Linked DNA regions of Canis lupus familiaris. The protein of the gene in region 2 purifies or fractionates together with the protein of the main gene of each other region. This does not show direct contact. Links are inferred from orthologs where the notes say so. Each region holds a gene or a part of one and is shown on either strand. Other genes may lie near its edges.

Region 1 (4,168 bases), on a different chromosome or scaffold from region 2:
GCCGAGGCCTGGTGCTGTTTGACCTGGATGGGCCTTAGTTTCCCATCTGTGAAATGGGAGAAATTTCAAAGAAGGAGAGACAAAACAGGGATGGTATTTAAAGCTGGATTCACACTCACCCTTCCCTATGCCATGATTCCAGGAGGACTAGTGAAGAGCCAAAAGTGGGGTGCAGTTTTGGAGCATGGGGTGAGATTGTTGGCATAGTGTTTGCAGAAGCCTTTGTGGCCTAAAGCAGCATTTCCTTATTGTCCCTTTTCTTTGCTCTACTCCTTGCCCCCTGCATCCAGATATAATTTGCCTCTTTATTTTCTGGGAAGTGTGATTGCCACTAAATACTGGCTTCAGCCCCCTCATAAGCAGGAATATCTAAAACTCAATGACTTCTGATAAGCTGCCTTAGTTACTGTTTTGTTTTTTAAATGCACATTAAAATGAACATATATCAGGGCACCTGGGTGGCTCAATCAGCTAAGTACCTGACTTCAGCTCTGGTCATGATCTCAGGCCCTGGGATGGAGCCCTGCCTGCAACTGGCTCCCTGCTGAGCAGTGAGTCTGCTTCTCTCTCTCCCTGTGCCCCTCCCCCTCCCCCTGCTCTCTCTCTGAAAAGAAATACAATCTAAAAAAATAAAATAAAATATAAAATGAACGTGTATCTATTAAAATAAATGTTGCTCTTCCCTACACTGTTCCTCCTGCCCCGGTCCTTGCTTTGGGAAACTCAAGTCAAGGCGGGTCCAAGGCCTGGTTCTCCTCAGGTGACTTCCTTCTCTGTGCCTCAGTTTTTCATCTGTAAAATGGGGATAATCATCAGCCTGCCCAGCCTAGGTGTTGTTAGGAATAGAGCCTTTTAAAAGTCGACCTGAGCCATTGGCATGGTGCCTGGGAAAGAGCAAAGGCTCCGTTAGCGCTGACATTATTATTCTTATTACCGGTAATTGAGGAAGAGGTGGATTTGGGGTCAGCAGGACGGGTGCTTGGGCCCGGTTAGGGAGGGCATTTTGGCTGGGGGGTATTTAGGGGTCCCACAGGGTGGGGCGCTCTCACGGGTCGGGGTGGGGGCAGGGTTTCTGTGTCCCCGCCCCCCGCCTGCCCCTCCGCACCCCGGCTCCTGCGGCTCCTGCGCCCACGGGGTGGGGCCCGCGCGTGGGTCTCTCCCGGGTCACCGCGGGGAGTCGGGCCCCGCACGCTTCCTCCTTCCTCCTCCCCCCGGCGGCCGGCCGGGCCCCTCCTCCCCGCTCGCGCGCTCCCTCCCTCCTCTCCCCTCCCCGGCCGCCGCCGCCTCCTCCTCCCTTTCTCTCCCGATCTGTCTCTCCCGGCCCGGAATCCATTCCGGCCTGGGAGCCGGAGCGGCCAGGCCGCCGAGTGCCCGACCCCGCCGTCCCGCGGTCCGCCCTCCCGCGCGTCCGTCCGCCCGTGCGCCGCCGCCCAGCGGCCCAGGTGAGCGCCCCCCGCCCCTCCGCGGGCCCCGGTCCCCGCCGGCCCGGGGGAGCCCCGCCCGGACCCCGTGGCGTCGGAGGGCGGGCGGCGGGGGGCTCGGGGCCCCGCTCCGGCCTCGCCGGGTCCGAGGCGCGATCCCGGGGCGCTGGGCGGGCGCAGGGGGACCTGCCCGGCGCGGCCTTTTGTTGTGATGCCTTGGGGGGGAGGGGGCGGGCGGGGGCTCGGGGTCCGGCCGGCGCGGGGGCCGCCGCCGGCTCCCCCTTCCCCGGAGCCCCCGGAGCCCCCGGAGCCCCCGGAGCGGGAGCCCGGCCGAGCCCCCGGGCCAGGTCTAGGCCAAATCTGAAATCTGAGCCTGTCGGCGCCGCCTCTGGCCGCGGCTGCCGGGCCTGGCGCCCCCGGCCGGGATGGGAGGTGGAGAGGGGGCGGGCAGGGTGGGCCTGGGGGCGCCGAGCCAGGGGCGCGGGCCGGGGCCCCAGGACCACCCTGTCCTCCTGGAGCTTGGGGTAGGGCCTGGTGCCGCGGGTCTGGAAGGGACAGGGCCGCACTGTCGGTCCACTGCCCCCAGCCCCCAGCCTCGCCCCTGGCAGGCCCAGCCGCCTGCCTGCTCAGAAGTTGGCAAAAGTTTTGGGTTTTCTCCACCAGGCTGGGTCCATCTCCCTGCCTGGGCTTCGGTTGGGGGTGAGCTTAGGTGCCCACAGGGGCTGCCGCTTGCCCAGCTCTGTGTGGTCAGGCAACTGCCTACCCTCTCTGATCTGGGGGTCCTGATCAGTGGCAGGTGGGTCTGGCTGGGACTGCTGGGCTGGTGGAAGGATGACGGTAAACAGAAGAGGCTCACCTATGGGGTATCAGTTCTGCCTCTGGGGCCTTCAGGCTCACTGGCCGGTGGGCCGAACAAGTGAGGCTTGTCAAGTGGGGCTTCCTGAGCTTCAGGACCTCTACATTTGGGGCAGGGGTCCCTGGGTTACCTGGGATGAGTCCAGGCCCAGACACAGTGCTGCTGAGATCAGACTTGGTTTCAGGCATAGACCAGGCGGGTCCTGTTAGTGCCCCTCTTGTCAGCCTCCTGGCTGGACAGACAAGACTTCTTGTCTCCCTGGGTGACCTGGGCCAAGGGACTGCCCCTCTGAGCACCCACATGTGGAATGGGGGAAGAATATATGCACTTCTACGTGTAGGAGCTCAGTGTGTAGTAGGTGCTCAATAAATGAGTGCTTCACTGGATGAATTGCCTAAAATGGGAGGGGGCTGAGGGGGCTGGTCCCAGTGGGGCTTGTGTCCAGAAGAGGATGGATTGGTGTCCGAAAAGCCACCTGAGAGCCCCTTGAGAAACAACTCCAGCACCATCCTGCCACCCAGCAGCTGTGTGACCTCGAGCAACTCGCTGCCTCCTTGGGCCTCAGTCTTATTAAGTATAAAATAGGCCAAATGGAGAAACCGAGGCTCAGAGAGGGGAAAGGACTTGACCAAGCCCACACAGTTTGAAGCTGGAATGAGAACGTACACTTCAGAGACCCCAGTTTGGCTGCCCTTGACCCCTCCAGTGTGGGGGGAGCAGGGGTTTCTCAGTATGGGACGAGGCATGCAACGGTGTTAGACCATACAGATTGATGAGTGATTGCATGGAAGCCACGAGGTCCTCCTGGGGATGTGGTGATGTGGTGTGCCTCGGTGATGTGGTCTTTCCACCTAGGGAAGTGATTTACAGTGTGTCACCTCTCTCAGCTGACTGCCTGCCTAAGCCCTTCTGTGTGGCTCTTGGGCTTTTTTCCTCCTGTAGGTGTCCCTGCCAGGACTGCCCTCTCCTCTGTGAGCTGTTTATCTGTTCTTACTCTTGAAGACTTAGCTTCAGGCCCACCTCTTCCAGGAAGGCTCCCTGGCTCTGCCTCCCCTCCCCATCCTCTTCCTGGAGCATGAACTCTCCCCAGCTCACAGCACAGTGCCTGCTGTGGCTTCTTCCTGATTGTGACCTGGCGGGTGGGGGGGGATGTCTGGCTCCCGCGAGCCCCAGGAGCCAGGGAGGACATGGCTCAGTGACCTGCTGACAACACTCCCCAACCCCCTGGTCCTCGTTGATCCCATTTTCCAAACCTGCCCAGATGCAAACATCCGTGACCCTGTGTGAGCCTCTGCTATATGCTAGGAGCTTCAAACTCAGGCTGAGCAGTGTGGCGAAGGGGTTAGTAGTGGGAGTTGTAGGAGGCATCAGGGGGCTTCCAAGAGGTGAGGGAGGGCAAGAAGTTTGCTCAACAAAGAAGGAGGGAGGGTGCTCTTTCTTCTATTCGGACACTTCCCAGGGTTGCTGGGATTGTGGAGGTGGTCATCCTGCTGCAGAATTGTGAACAGGTCCCTGGCCTCCTAGATATTTGAGTCTAGAGGGTGAGCCAAATAGCAAACAAGTTACCAAATAAATTAATATATAATCACAGATGCGATAAGGGCTCAGAGAGAGAGGCGTGGGGTGCAGAGGAATTTTGAAGGAAGTATGTAGGAGTTGGCCAAGCATGGAGCTGGGGAAGGGCTTGTCAGGCAGAGAGAAATGCATGTGCAAAGGCCCTGAGGTGGGGAAGTGTGTGTTATAGAGAAACGATGGGAAAGCCTCTGAATTCGGAGCACAGAGAATTAAGGAGAGTGGGTGAGAGGTGAAGTAGGGGGTGTTTTGGGGGGTAATCACTCATATGGCTGGACCATATGGAGCTGTGTGGGCCTTGGGGATGAGTTTGACCTTC
Region 2 (3,500 bases):
CCTTCGGAATAATAGCTGCCTCTCCAAGATGAAGAATTCTATGGCTTCCATGTCTCAGCAGCTCAAAGCCAAATTGGATTTCTTTAAAACCAGCATCCAGATTGACCTGGAGAAGTACAGTGAGCAAACTGAGTTTGGAATCAGTGAGTGTACTCTTTCTGCCATGAGCTTGGAGAGACCATTTCTTGCTTTCTTTTTTTTTTTTTTTCTTCTTGAGGTTTCTTTTGTCTCTTACAATTGAGTTGTTTGTTTCTATTTTGTTTTTGTGGTGTTTTCATTTTGTTTTTTTCTTCCCCCCCTACAATTTTTTTTTCCAGCATCAGATAAACTTCTGCTGGCCTGGAGGGAAATGGAACAGGCCGTGGAGCTCTGTGGGCGGGTAGGACACTCAATTTAAATTCCTGTCCTTACAGAGGGGGGCTGAGGCTTCCCACTACCATTTCTCACTCTCTCCTCAAACACTAGGTCTGTTTGTATGTCCGGAATCAGGTTGTCCTCATCCTGCTTTCTGACCTTAACTAGGACTTGCTGGGGAAAAGGCCAGGTTGATATGCAGTACAGGGGCCCCCTCAATGGCAGATGTGGAAGCTATCTGGACCTGGTACAGATTTGAACAAGGAGCCAAATGCGAAGGATCCTTGTGGGAGGCCTAGACTTCTTCCTATTAGAAAGGGCCTTATATGAATAGTCAACACTCCATCCTGCCAGGGGTTTGGCCTATTTTGTTGGGACGCTAAATCCATAGAGAGAAGTCATCTAGGCATAAAGTCTTAGAACAGCAGAAATCCAGTACCCACTGAAAAATGTTAATTGTGAGGTAAGGGAAGTAAGTATAGCTTAGTGGACCTCACACAAATCAAAGACTGAATGCTCCAAGGCCTTTTCTGGACTTTTCATTTTCTGCTGAGAACTTGGGGAGGGACCTTCACTTCTGTGTCTTCACATCAGTTTCTATGCACCAATACTGACGTGTATGTATAAGGTGAGTATGATATAGATAATAACTCACCTAACCACAGAGGCAGTGAGTGTACACTGGCACTTATGTACATAAACTATGAAACACAGGCACCCAGGCCTCTCCACGTGGGATAGACAAAGGGGAGAAAGGAATACATATGGGGCATCTTCTTTGTTCTGGGCACCGGGCTGGATACTTTATACACCGTATCTTGTCTGGGCCCTAAAATGGCCTCATTAGAGGATTATTTTATGGCAGAGGAAACTGTAGCTCAGGGCTTAGGTGATTTGCCCACGGGGTCACACAGCCAGAAAGTGATAGACCTGAGATCCAAACTCAGGCCATCTGACTCCAAAGTCTGTATCCCTTCTAGCCGGTCAGTTGAGAGTCTTCAGTGAGTTTGGGAGGGCGACTTGCCCGCCAAATCCTGCACCTCAGAAGGCTCTTATTACGTCAGTTGACATGAGCACAGCTTTTTCATCAGGAGAATGAAGTGAAGCACCTGGTGGAACGCATGATGGCACTGCAGACGGACATCGTGGACCTGCAGAGGAGCCCGATGGGGCGGAAGCAGGGGGGGACGCTGGATGACCTGTGAGTACCAGCTGGCCAGTGGACCAACCCGCACACGCCCCAGCCAAGTTTCCATATGCGTCTGGGAATTGTCCAAGGGTGCAAGTGTGGTTATTATGGAAGCTGTAGGAGACCATTCTATAGAGAATGACCCTCTGGTGGAGCATATTGGCATGTTCCAGAGGAGTGCCAGGGATGAGCAAGGGCAAATCACCATCACTGTCAGCCTTCATTTCCATATCTATCGAGTGGCAAGAAGAACTGTCAGCCCTCACAGAGTTGTGATCAATTCAGATGACTCAGGTAGAGCAGGGGTTCAAAAACTGTAAAGGCTGTGATGGAAGCAGCCTTTGCCGTGGCTTCAGACATCACTGTTCATACCTCCTGCCGTGATCCAGTTGTGGCTCGAAGAGCAGAAAGTAGAACAGAGGAGGAGCCTCGCAGGGCTTAAGAGTTTGAATCCAGAAACTGTTCATTTGAGTCTCTATGAGGAATTTGGCCTTGGCTGTAGGGGGTGATAAGGTGTCCCCGCCAAGCCGTCTGACCTGAAGGGAATCAGACCTGAAGGGAAACACGGAGCTCCCAGGGTGCAGGTGGGCGGGCAGCAGACGAGTTGCATCACACACATGGGAGCTCTCACTTGGGCTCAGCAGGGTCCTCTGATGCCTTTACTAGAGTTCTCAGGACCAGAATCTCAAACGGGAAATCTCATGATCCGGATTCTGTGTTTTCTCCAATTATTTAACCCTTTATTCTCCTTTAGTTTTCAAATAAGTCACCTCTGAGAATGTCAGTCACTTTCACTGTGCCAAGGCTGGAAACGGTTAGGAGATTCTGTTGCCCTTGGGCTTGAGTTTCAAGGAGGCCGTTTGCTCTCCAGGTTATGGCACTGGAGTCACTATTGCAGAAGCCACGTGGACAGGAAATTCCAAGGGACAGAGTAGAAACTCACTTCCTTGAGACTCTCGCTCATTAAACCTTAGAGATGGTTCAGGTTTAATAATGAGGGCCATCGTTGCCTTGTTATAGGCATCACCTGGAATAGCTCCAGGGGTAATAATTCCCTCCAATCAAGGCGTAATGCCCATCTTCTATTTTTTAAAATTAATTTATTTTTTCATGAGAGAGAGAGAGGTAGGCAGATAGAGAAAGAAGCAGAGAAAGAAGCAGGCTTCATGCAGGGAGCCCGATGTGGGACTCAATCCAGGGACTCCAGGATCATGCCCTGGGCCAAAGGCGGGTGCTAAACCACTGAGCCACCCAGGCATTCCCTGTCTTGCTTCTAAAAGGCACTCATTGTACTGGCAGGAATTACCTACCTGGTGTTTTAAATGTATTTCTTCTTCCTGTGTTTCAGAGAAGAGCAGGCGAGGGAGCTTTATAGGAGGCTTAGGGAAAAGCCCAGAGGTAAGTGGGGCTTCTGTGGGCCATGGGTGCCTTGTTTTGTGAGGTGTGCAGCGTTGGCGCTCTGCTGGCCACCGGGAAGAACTGTGCAGCTCCTTCCCTCTTTCCAGACCAGCGAACTGATGGCGACAGTCAGGAGATGGTCCGGCTGCTCCTGCAGGCCATCCAAGGTTTTGAGAAGAAAGTGCGAGTGATTTATACGCAGCTCAGGTATCTGCCCTGACCTTCCTGCCCAAGGGTGGAATTCGGAGAAACTGCTAGGCCTCACATGAGGTCTTTTTCTGGCTCCCCTCTGACTTGCTTCACCTGGAGAAAATTTATCCACAGCTGCTGTCGGATTCCTAGTTACCAGGGATTGTGTTCTTCCACTTTCTCCAACCCCAGTGCCACTGGAGTTTGTCACATTTATTCTTTACAGTAAAACTGTGGTTTGTAAGCAGAAGGCTCTGGAACTGTTGCCCAAGGTGGAAGAAGTGGTGAGTTTAATGAACGAAGATGAGAAGACTGTTGTCCGGCTTCAGGAGAAGCGGCAGAAGGAGCTCTGGAACCTCCTGAAGATCGC
Region 3 (4,002 bases), on a different chromosome or scaffold from region 2:
AAAAGGAGTTGCAGTGGAAACTTGATTCTGGTCACCACTCCTTAAAGACAGCTAATGACATACTTTATGAGTTGAATCTTTGGAAAGAGGCTGCTGCAGGGACATAACAGACTACTGACTCATGCCCCAATGCTCCACCCTTAACAGAATTTGCAGTTCCACTGACTATGCCACACAGTTAATTTCAGTGAGATGAATTTTGTTTTTCCTTGGTCCTCCACTATAAAGTCACTTATTGCAGTAGAAAAAAATGAAAGTTTTATTTTGGAAATTATGCTTTTCAACATGCAAACTGGATCATCACTTCCTTGATTAAAACTTGTTAGCGCTCTCCTAGCTGTCAACTTCCACAGGAAGGCTCAACACTCAGTTCCGGAATACAGACCTCTGTGCAGCGAGTCCAGCCTACCCCCTCAGCTTCTCTAGCGACTCCTCACCACCAGTCCCCCTCCACCCCCCAAACACACCCAGCTGTCCTGTCCCCACCTTTATCTATGCTTTCACATCCCCATTCCCTTGTCCATCCGCAGACACAGAGTCACCCACTAAGCTTGAGTCCCGCCCGAGTATGCTTGAGAATGCATTCACCCCACGGTGCCTTGTATCCCCAGAAAGTTTACATACATGTTGTAATTGTCTGCTTTGGAAGCCCTCTGAGCCCCTTGAGAGGAGGGTTCGTGCCCTTTTTGTTTCCATAAGCCCAGGGGGTCACGAGGTGAAGTATGTAAGTGCAGGGGGCCTAGACTACTGATTTCGGAACTCTGGTTCCATCATCTCAGAGCCGTGTGACTTTGGACGTGTTATGCGCTCTTTTCCCTCATCTGTAAACTTGTAGATAATACTATATACCACTGGGACATATTAAGAATAATACGAACAAGTTTATCTGACGTGTTGAAGCCAACTGGCAACACGCTAAGTGTTCAATACACAACAGGCATTATTATTTTTTCATCTATGATAAGTTCTTGAGATACATTTGTTGAAGGAGCAAAGGAAAGTTCAATAAGTTAGCAAACCTTCCACTATTATGTAAAGGAAAATAACAACACAAAAACATTCGTGAATGTCCTGGCCCATAGTCTCAGAGACCCAAGATTTGGCATGTTCCTTATCATATGTTTCTCTACTTAGAGCTTCTTGAGAATTTTGATTTTAAGTGGCAAAAGAGATGTCCTGGGTGTATGAGTTTCCTAAGGCTGCCGTAACAATGTCCCACAAACTGGGCAGCTTAACATGGTAGAGACATTTATATTCACAAATAGGCCACGCTAGGGTAGCCTGGGTGGCTCAGCAGTTTGGCGCTGCCTTCAGCCCAGGGCCTGATCCTGGAGACCCAGGATGGAGTCCCACATCGGGCTCCCTGCATGGAGCCTGCTTCTCCCTCTGCCTGTGTCTCTGCCTCTCTCTCTCTCTCTCTCTCTCTCTCTGTCTCTCATGAATAAATAAATAAAATCTTTTTTAAAAATAGGCCACAAAAGTAGAGGATAGTGGCTTTCACAGCCCTGGCTGTGAGGACTTACTGTCACACACATGCCATCATTATTGACAAGAAAGAAGAGACCGGTGAAATGGGCCACAGCTAAGGCTTGAGTAGAAGTTTTCAGAAGGGAAGCTAAAAATAACTTTAGGGAGTATCTGATAACAGGGCATGTTAAAAGACAGAAGTTGGTAGTGTGTTTCTGTTTTTAAAGTCTATTACCTATATATATGATCACTCACCCCATGCAGCCCCTTCTGCCCATATTTTAATAAAATCACCTTTTTGCACACACACACACACACACACACACAAAGAAATCTGTTACCAATTCATAAAAACGTAACAGAACATGGCTTGTTATCACCCCTGGGTACCCGCTATCCCACAGGCAGGGAGAGACCCAGCTGCAAGGTGTTGGGCAGGACAGATGACTGAAGTTACCACCATTCTCCTGGCAGCAGCTGGGCCCCCAGGGACTCGGCAGTCCTTGTGGGGTACAGCCTGGCTGGTCCAGGATACTGGCCGCACATCCCTCTCTCTGGAGGACACTGTGATGCAAGTTTTTCAGTGTGAAATAAAAACCTAAAACCCCACTGAGCGTTTCCATAGTCATCCACAAGCAGGTGGAGGGGGATTTCAGGTAAGCAGGGGCGATGCTTCATCCAGAAATAAGCAAAGTAAGCGCGCGATGTAGACATCAACCGAGCAGAGGCAACAGAAGGGTAGACAGAGAGAACATCCAGCAGACGACTGTTCTAATTTTAGCACACCTACAGGTAACGTTGCACTTTGGAAACACTTTTTTTTTTTTTTTAATTTTCTGCCTTCACTTTTTTACTGAATTATATACAAGTTCTCTAAATTTCTCTATCTGGCCCTGGTGGGACATCTTCAAGGAACTTCCAAAGTCATACCACACAGACAGCCGCAAGCAGCCCTGCCCACAGACACGCATCCACTGCACCCACGCCTCCCAGTGCCTGAACCGTGGAGATCCTCCCCACCTGTAGGCAGAGATCTGGGCTCTGCCTGGTATCTGAAGCTCCTGCTGCATGTCTTCCTTGCTGGTGTCCAGGTAGGTCATCAGCAGATCCAGTCTATTAATTCGGAAAAGCAGCTCCTTCAAAAAGAACAGGTTGCTTTCCTCCAACATTCTCTTTTCCTGGAGTCTCTGGAATAACATCAAGGGATCCTTGATGGGCTCCTGCTTCTTCTGTGGGATGTAGTCCAAGCTCAGGAATTTGAGGGAGGCCAGTTCGTCACTGTCCAGCTGTTCCCCAATATTGTAGAGGCATTTGCTGAAATCCATGTTGGTCAAGTGTCAGGACGAGGTAGTTGTTAACCTAGGTCAAAACACAATATTATGTTCAGATGAGGAAGAGAAGTACCATTTACTGGTCTATTCCTTCATCAAGTGCTGTTATCTCTACTACACACCAGATGTCTTACTGAGGACACAGGGAAGAAACAAAACAAAAAACTAAACAAATAGGACAGGTTTCTGCTCTTGAGTAGCTCACTATTTTGGAAGGTAGATATACAAATTAGCCAATGGTTCGAGAGTTAACCAGGGCACAGTAGGAATATAGCCAGGGGAAAGGGCCTCCTGGATGGCAGGCACCTGTGGGAAGGAGGTGGGAAAAAATGTATGTGGAAGATGGAGGCGAGAATGTTCAAGTCAACTCAGGCAGGCACAATTTGCCCAACAAAGTAACCATGAGTGTCTGGGAGGGGAAGTGGTGGCAATAGGGATGAAGCTGTGGCCAGGAACCATTACAAAGGGCCTCATGCTGTAGGGCAAAGGCTCAGGCTTTACCCTAGAGGTGATGGGGAACTCAGAAAGGACCGTAATGTCATCCAGTTTGGGATTAACATGAAAAGTGTGGAGGACAGGGGCGCCTGGTGGCTCAGTGGGTTAAGCATCTGCCTTCCACTCAGGTCATGATCCTGGGGTCCTGGTCTGTCTCCCTGCTCAGCAGGAAGCCTGCTTCTCCAGTTCCTTCTGCCTCTCCCCCCACTCATGCTCTCTCTTGTGTGACCTGGCTCTCTCAAATAAATACATAAACCCCTTTAAAAAAAAAAGTGGATGCCTGGGTGACTCAGTCAGTTGAGCATCTGCCTGTCGCTCAGGTCATGACCTCAGGGTCTGGGGTAGAGCCCCCCATCAGGCTTCCTGCCCAGCATGGAGCCTGTTTCTCCCTCTCCCTCAGCTCCTCCCCACCGCACACGTGCTCACTCGCTCTCCCTCTCCCTGCTCTCTCTCTCTCAAATAAGTAAAATATTTTTTAAAAAATTTAAATTAAAATTTAAAAATATGTGTGGAGGATAGGCCAAAAGGACTAGAGGCCAGAGAAAGAATGGGATCTGACTGAAACAATGGTGCTGGGAAGACACGCCGCAGTGCTATACCCCAAAGGCCTCAGGATCACCTGACTCTAGAGGCAGTTCCCTGCACTGGCTAACATTTTTTGGATGAAAACACAAGTCCTGATTCTATTACTTGAGGTAATGATCAAGTG
Region 4 (4,268 bases), on a different chromosome or scaffold from region 2:
TTAATTTTTCCCACTCAGTTCCCCTCCTTTCCCCTATAATCCCTTTCACTATTTTTTTCTGTTCCCCAAATGAATGAGACCATAGAATGTTTGTCCTTCTCCAATTGACTTATCACTCAGCATAATCCCCTCCAGTTCCATCCATGTTGAAGGAAATGGTGGGTATTTGTCGTTTCTAATGGCTGAGAAATATTCCATTGTGTACATAGACCACAGCTTCTCTATCCATCATCTTTCGATGAACACCGAGGCTCCTTCCACAGTTTGGCTATCGCGGACTTTGCTGCTATAAACATTGGGGTGCAGGTGTCTTGACATTTCACTGCATCTCTATCTTTGGGGTAAATCCCCAGCAGTGCCACTGCACTTCAGCCTTGTTTTAACATCATGTTACCTCATAGGTTCATCTTAAATGTTTGTAATCAGTGTAATCAGCACATTTCTTTCATATTGTCTTTTCTCGTATGATTTCATACACACGTTTCTGTGACATTGTTCGTCTATTTAATATATAGTAGCATATACTAATGGACTGTAAAAAATAATTGGTTTTTTGTTTATTTCTTTATGCCTTCATTCAACAACAATTCTAGGCACCATGCTAGGTAGTAAGTAAGGATGTATATTATAATCATCGCCATCATCATCGTGTTCTGCGCTCAAAGAGCTTAACTTTATAGCATTTTAACATATTTCCATATTAGCGTGGAAGTTTTAGTTTTACAGGACAGAACACAATAGTAATACCCTTAGCACATGGGATGAAATCTTTCTTTAAAAGGAGGCTTCTTTTAAAATGATAGCTGTGCTGCAAAGCATAGTAGAAGGAATCCTGGTGACTACAGATGGTCCCCAACTTATGGTTCGACTTACGACTTTTTCACTTTACAATGGTCAAAAGCCATGGGCATTCAGTGGAAACCATTCTTTGAATTTTGAATTTGGGTCTCTTCCTGGGCTAATGATATGCATTATAGTCCTCTCTCATGATACTGGGGCAGCAGCCGCTGAGCGGAACCACAGCTCCCGGCCAGCTGTGTGATCACAAGGTAGACAGCCAACATGCTCGCGACCATTCTGTTACACAGCCATTCTGTTTTTCACTTGCTGTTCACTATCAGTCAGTTACTTGAGATATTCAACATTTTATTATAAAATAGGCTTTGTGTTAGATGATTTTGCCCAACTAAGGCTAATGTAAGCGCTCTAAGCAGATTAAAGGTAGGTTGGGCTAAGCTATGGCGTTTGGTAGGTTAGGTGTATTAAACACATTTTCAACTCATAATACTGTCAACTTGTGATGTGTTTATTAGGACATAACACAACTCCATTGTATGTCGAGGAGGATCTGGATATCCACAGGTTCAGACCCCACAACCTTGAATAAAACAGTTGCTTTGGCCTGTTTGACTTACCTTTCCATGTCATAGACTTAATGTCCCTTGTTTTAGGTCAGTATCCCCCTTTCTGTAAAAGGAAGGATAATTATGGAGACCATTGAAGGGATGTGCTACCTCCATGGAGAAGGCGTAATACACAAGGACCTAAAGCCTGAAAACATCCTTGTCGATGATGACTTTCACATTAAGGTAAATCAGAATCTGAAAGTTTCTAGAAGATTGGGGTGGTTTTGTTTTTTTCTTAAAGATTTTGTTTATTTGTGAAAGAGAGAGAGACAGAGACAAAGATAGCAACAGAGATAGCAGCAAAGAGCAGATTCCCGCCCTGAGCAGGGAGCCTGATGCAGGGTTTAACCTGAGATGGTCCTGGGATCATAACCTGAGCCAAAAGGCAGATGCTTAACCGACTAAGCTACTCAGGTGCCCCAGGGGGGTTTTAGTTTTAATTCTCTGCTATAAACCCATTTTTGTATGTGATAAACACTAAAGGAAGACCTCGCTCAGCTTAGAACTGGTGAACGGTGGTGCCAAGGATTCACAAGAAAGATACGGACTCGATGGAGTTCATATTATTTATTTTTTTATTAATGTTATCTACGTTTTTTATCAGTTTTTTTTTTAACTATAATTTATTCCATTGTAGTAAAGGGAACAAGGGGAGGGGATTTTCCTTTTGTTCACCCAAGAGCAGATTTAAGTAGGTGGAACATCACATCTAATTGGTTTTGGCAGCAGGAATCCAAGCACGAGAATCTGAAAGGGGAAGCAGCAATGGTGGGGAGCGCAGGAGCTGCTGACTCAGAGTCCCTCCACTATGAGATTCTGCTTCTAATGCTTCCTTCTAGTCTTGGACAGATTCTTATTCCTATAACTTTAAAAGGAAGTTTCCCTCTTTAACATTAAATCACTTATTTCTTATGTATCTCTTAGGTTAAAATCGGGGGATTTTAGATCACCACATGATCTACCCAAATGCTTGGATTCCTAGAGGCAAAAGTGAAACTGTTCCCTCTGATTTCTTCTTAACTGTATTGTTCTATCCTTCCCTGTTCTATCATTGCCCTGCCACCTCTCTCTTTGTTCTGTGTCTGACCTTTGTATTTTTCTTTTGGTTTCCTTGTTGGTTTTTCTCCTTCTTCCTATCCCATCTTCTCTCAGGTTCAGGCTACCAACTCAAAACAAGTAGCACAGCAGTCTGTATCCTCAGGACTTTGGAGTTCTTAGAATCTCGCATCCATGGGCTTCGGGACACCATTTGGGAAAATTGAAGGTGCGGTATCTAGTCCCCATGTGCTATACACATCTGCTGAGAAGACCCCTTTTCTTCCTAGCCCCAGAAATAGTTGAAAAAAAAGTATGCAGAGTAAATGAGGAATTAGAATAAACACGTTCTGCTGTAGTTCATGTCAGAAATGACTTCTGCTTTTCTTTTCCCTCCCCTTCCCCTAGCAAATTACATGGTTTTATTGCATAAGAATTCAAATACCAGAATTTCACATGGACACATCTTAGGGACATTTTCCAGATAGCTGAGGAAACAAAGTTTCTATGAACTTGTTCAGAAGTAGCTGTTTTAAATCTATCTAGTGGAAATTTCTGGAAATTCACTATACCTTGCATCTATTAGTTAAGCCCAACATTTAAAGACAAGTCTAATTTGCCTCTGGCTCTCATAGAACAATCACGTTGATTTGATCTCTTGCAGATAGCTGATCTTGGCGTTGCTTCCTTTAAGACGTGGAGTAAACTGACTAAAGAGGAAATTAATGAGCAGAGGAAATTGAATAGTGTCTCTAAGAAAAATGGTGGAACCCTCTGCTATATGGCCCCAGAGCATCTGAATGACATCAACGCCAAGCCCTCGGAGAAGTCAGATGTGTACAGCTTTGGCATAGTACTTTGGGCGATATTTGCTAATAAGGAGCCATATGAAAGTAAGACATTTATAGAGGAGTGGGATCTGGCTATTAATCAAAACTGCTGAGTGAAATATTGGCCTTCAATGAAGGCAGTTAGGATTTCCAACTGTTTGTTGTTTTAAGGTCTTTCTTACCCACGAGACCACAAGCTACACGAGGGCTAGGACCATATCTGATTTATTCAGCACTATTTCCCCAGTATTCATCTCACAGTGCCTGGAACACAGTAGGTGTGCAGTACCATTATGTTGAATGCATGAGTAATCTCGGTTTAGGAATCAGGGATCACAGGACACATAGGAGCCATGATGATGTGTCTGTATTTGGGAGGTGCTGTAAAATTCCAGGATTCTTCCTGGACAGGAAAACTTACTTCCTTCTGCTTATGAGGCATATACTTCATACTTTGATTCATTATTCACTTGCTCTTTCACTTGAGAATTTTCTTTTTAGTACTTACTAGGGGTACTTTAATCAGAATTAAGAATAAAAAGATGAGAACAGATACATGGAGATACAAGATACAAGAATAAAAAGATGAGAACAGGGCAGCCCGGGTGGCTCAGCGGTTTAGCACCACCTTTGGCCCAGGGCCTGATCCTGGAGACCTGGGATCGAGTCCCACATGGGGCTCCTTGCGTGGAGCCTGCTTCTCCCTCTGCCTGTGTCTCTCTCTCTCTCTTTCTCTCTCTCTGTGTGTCTCGAATGAATGAATAAATAAATAAAATATTTTTTTTTTTTAAAAAAAAGATGAGAACAGATACATGTTCATGGAGGAGAATGGATACAAAAGTATATATATACATATATATATATACACACATCTTCAGTTTGTTAAATGTCTAAATTAATGGACATTTTCCATTTCTATTTTCTTGGGTGATTATCAGCTCCCCCAGTTTAATGATCGATCACCCATTGCCAGGGCCTCTCAAATCTCTTATCTCTA

What was found. The genes of interacting proteins can lie anywhere in the genome.
Region 1: the proteins of IKBKB (region 2) and SRC purify together in Homo sapiens (affinity purification with western blotting; 3 studies listed by BioGRID and IntAct, with this or other methods). This does not show direct contact. The link is inferred for Canis lupus familiaris from reciprocal best matches to the Homo sapiens genes IKBKB and SRC.
Region 3: the proteins of IKBKB (region 2) and CASP8 purify together in Homo sapiens (affinity purification with western blotting; 3 studies listed by BioGRID and IntAct, with this or other methods). This does not show direct contact. The link is inferred for Canis lupus familiaris from reciprocal best matches to the Homo sapiens genes IKBKB and CASP8.
Region 4: the proteins of IKBKB (region 2) and RIPK1 fractionate together in Homo sapiens (co-fractionation; 3 studies listed by BioGRID, with this or other methods). This does not show direct contact. The link is inferred for Canis lupus familiaris from reciprocal best matches to the Homo sapiens genes IKBKB and RIPK1.

Annotation. Positions count from the first base shown.
Region 1 is NC_049245.1:26,537,332-26,541,499, forward strand, and holds the start of SRC (proto-oncogene tyrosine-protein kinase Src), read left to right. Parts: upstream 1-1,368; 5' UTR 1,369-1,442; intron 1,443-4,168. UniProt on the Homo sapiens protein: Non-receptor protein tyrosine kinase which is activated following engagement of many different classes of cellular receptors including immune response receptors, integrins and other adhesion receptors, receptor protein tyrosine kinases, G protein-coupled receptors as well as cytokine receptors.
Region 2 is NC_049237.1:24,100,695-24,104,194, reverse strand, and holds part of IKBKB (inhibitor of nuclear factor kappa-B kinase subunit beta), read left to right. Parts: coding exon 1-143; intron 144-317; coding exon 318-379; intron 380-1,433; coding exon 1,434-1,555; intron 1,556-2,891; coding exon 2,892-2,941; intron 2,942-3,048; coding exon 3,049-3,148; intron 3,149-3,356; coding exon 3,357-3,500.
Region 3 is NC_049258.1:10,247,572-10,251,573, reverse strand, and holds the start of CASP8 (caspase-8), read right to left. Parts: upstream 2,801-4,002; 5' UTR 2,793-2,800; coding exon 2,488-2,792; intron 1-2,487. UniProt on the Homo sapiens protein: Thiol protease that plays a key role in programmed cell death by acting as a molecular switch for apoptosis, necroptosis and pyroptosis, and is required to prevent tissue damage during embryonic development and adulthood.
Region 4 is NC_049256.1:4,667,095-4,671,362, forward strand, and holds the start of RIPK1 (receptor-interacting serine/threonine-protein kinase 1), read left to right. Parts: upstream 1-1,468; 5' UTR 1,469-1,589; intron 1,590-2,558; 5' UTR 2,559-2,670; intron 2,671-3,105; 5' UTR 3,106-3,222; coding exon 3,223-3,334; intron 3,335-4,268. UniProt on the Homo sapiens protein: Serine-threonine kinase which is a key regulator of TNF-mediated apoptosis, necroptosis and inflammatory pathways.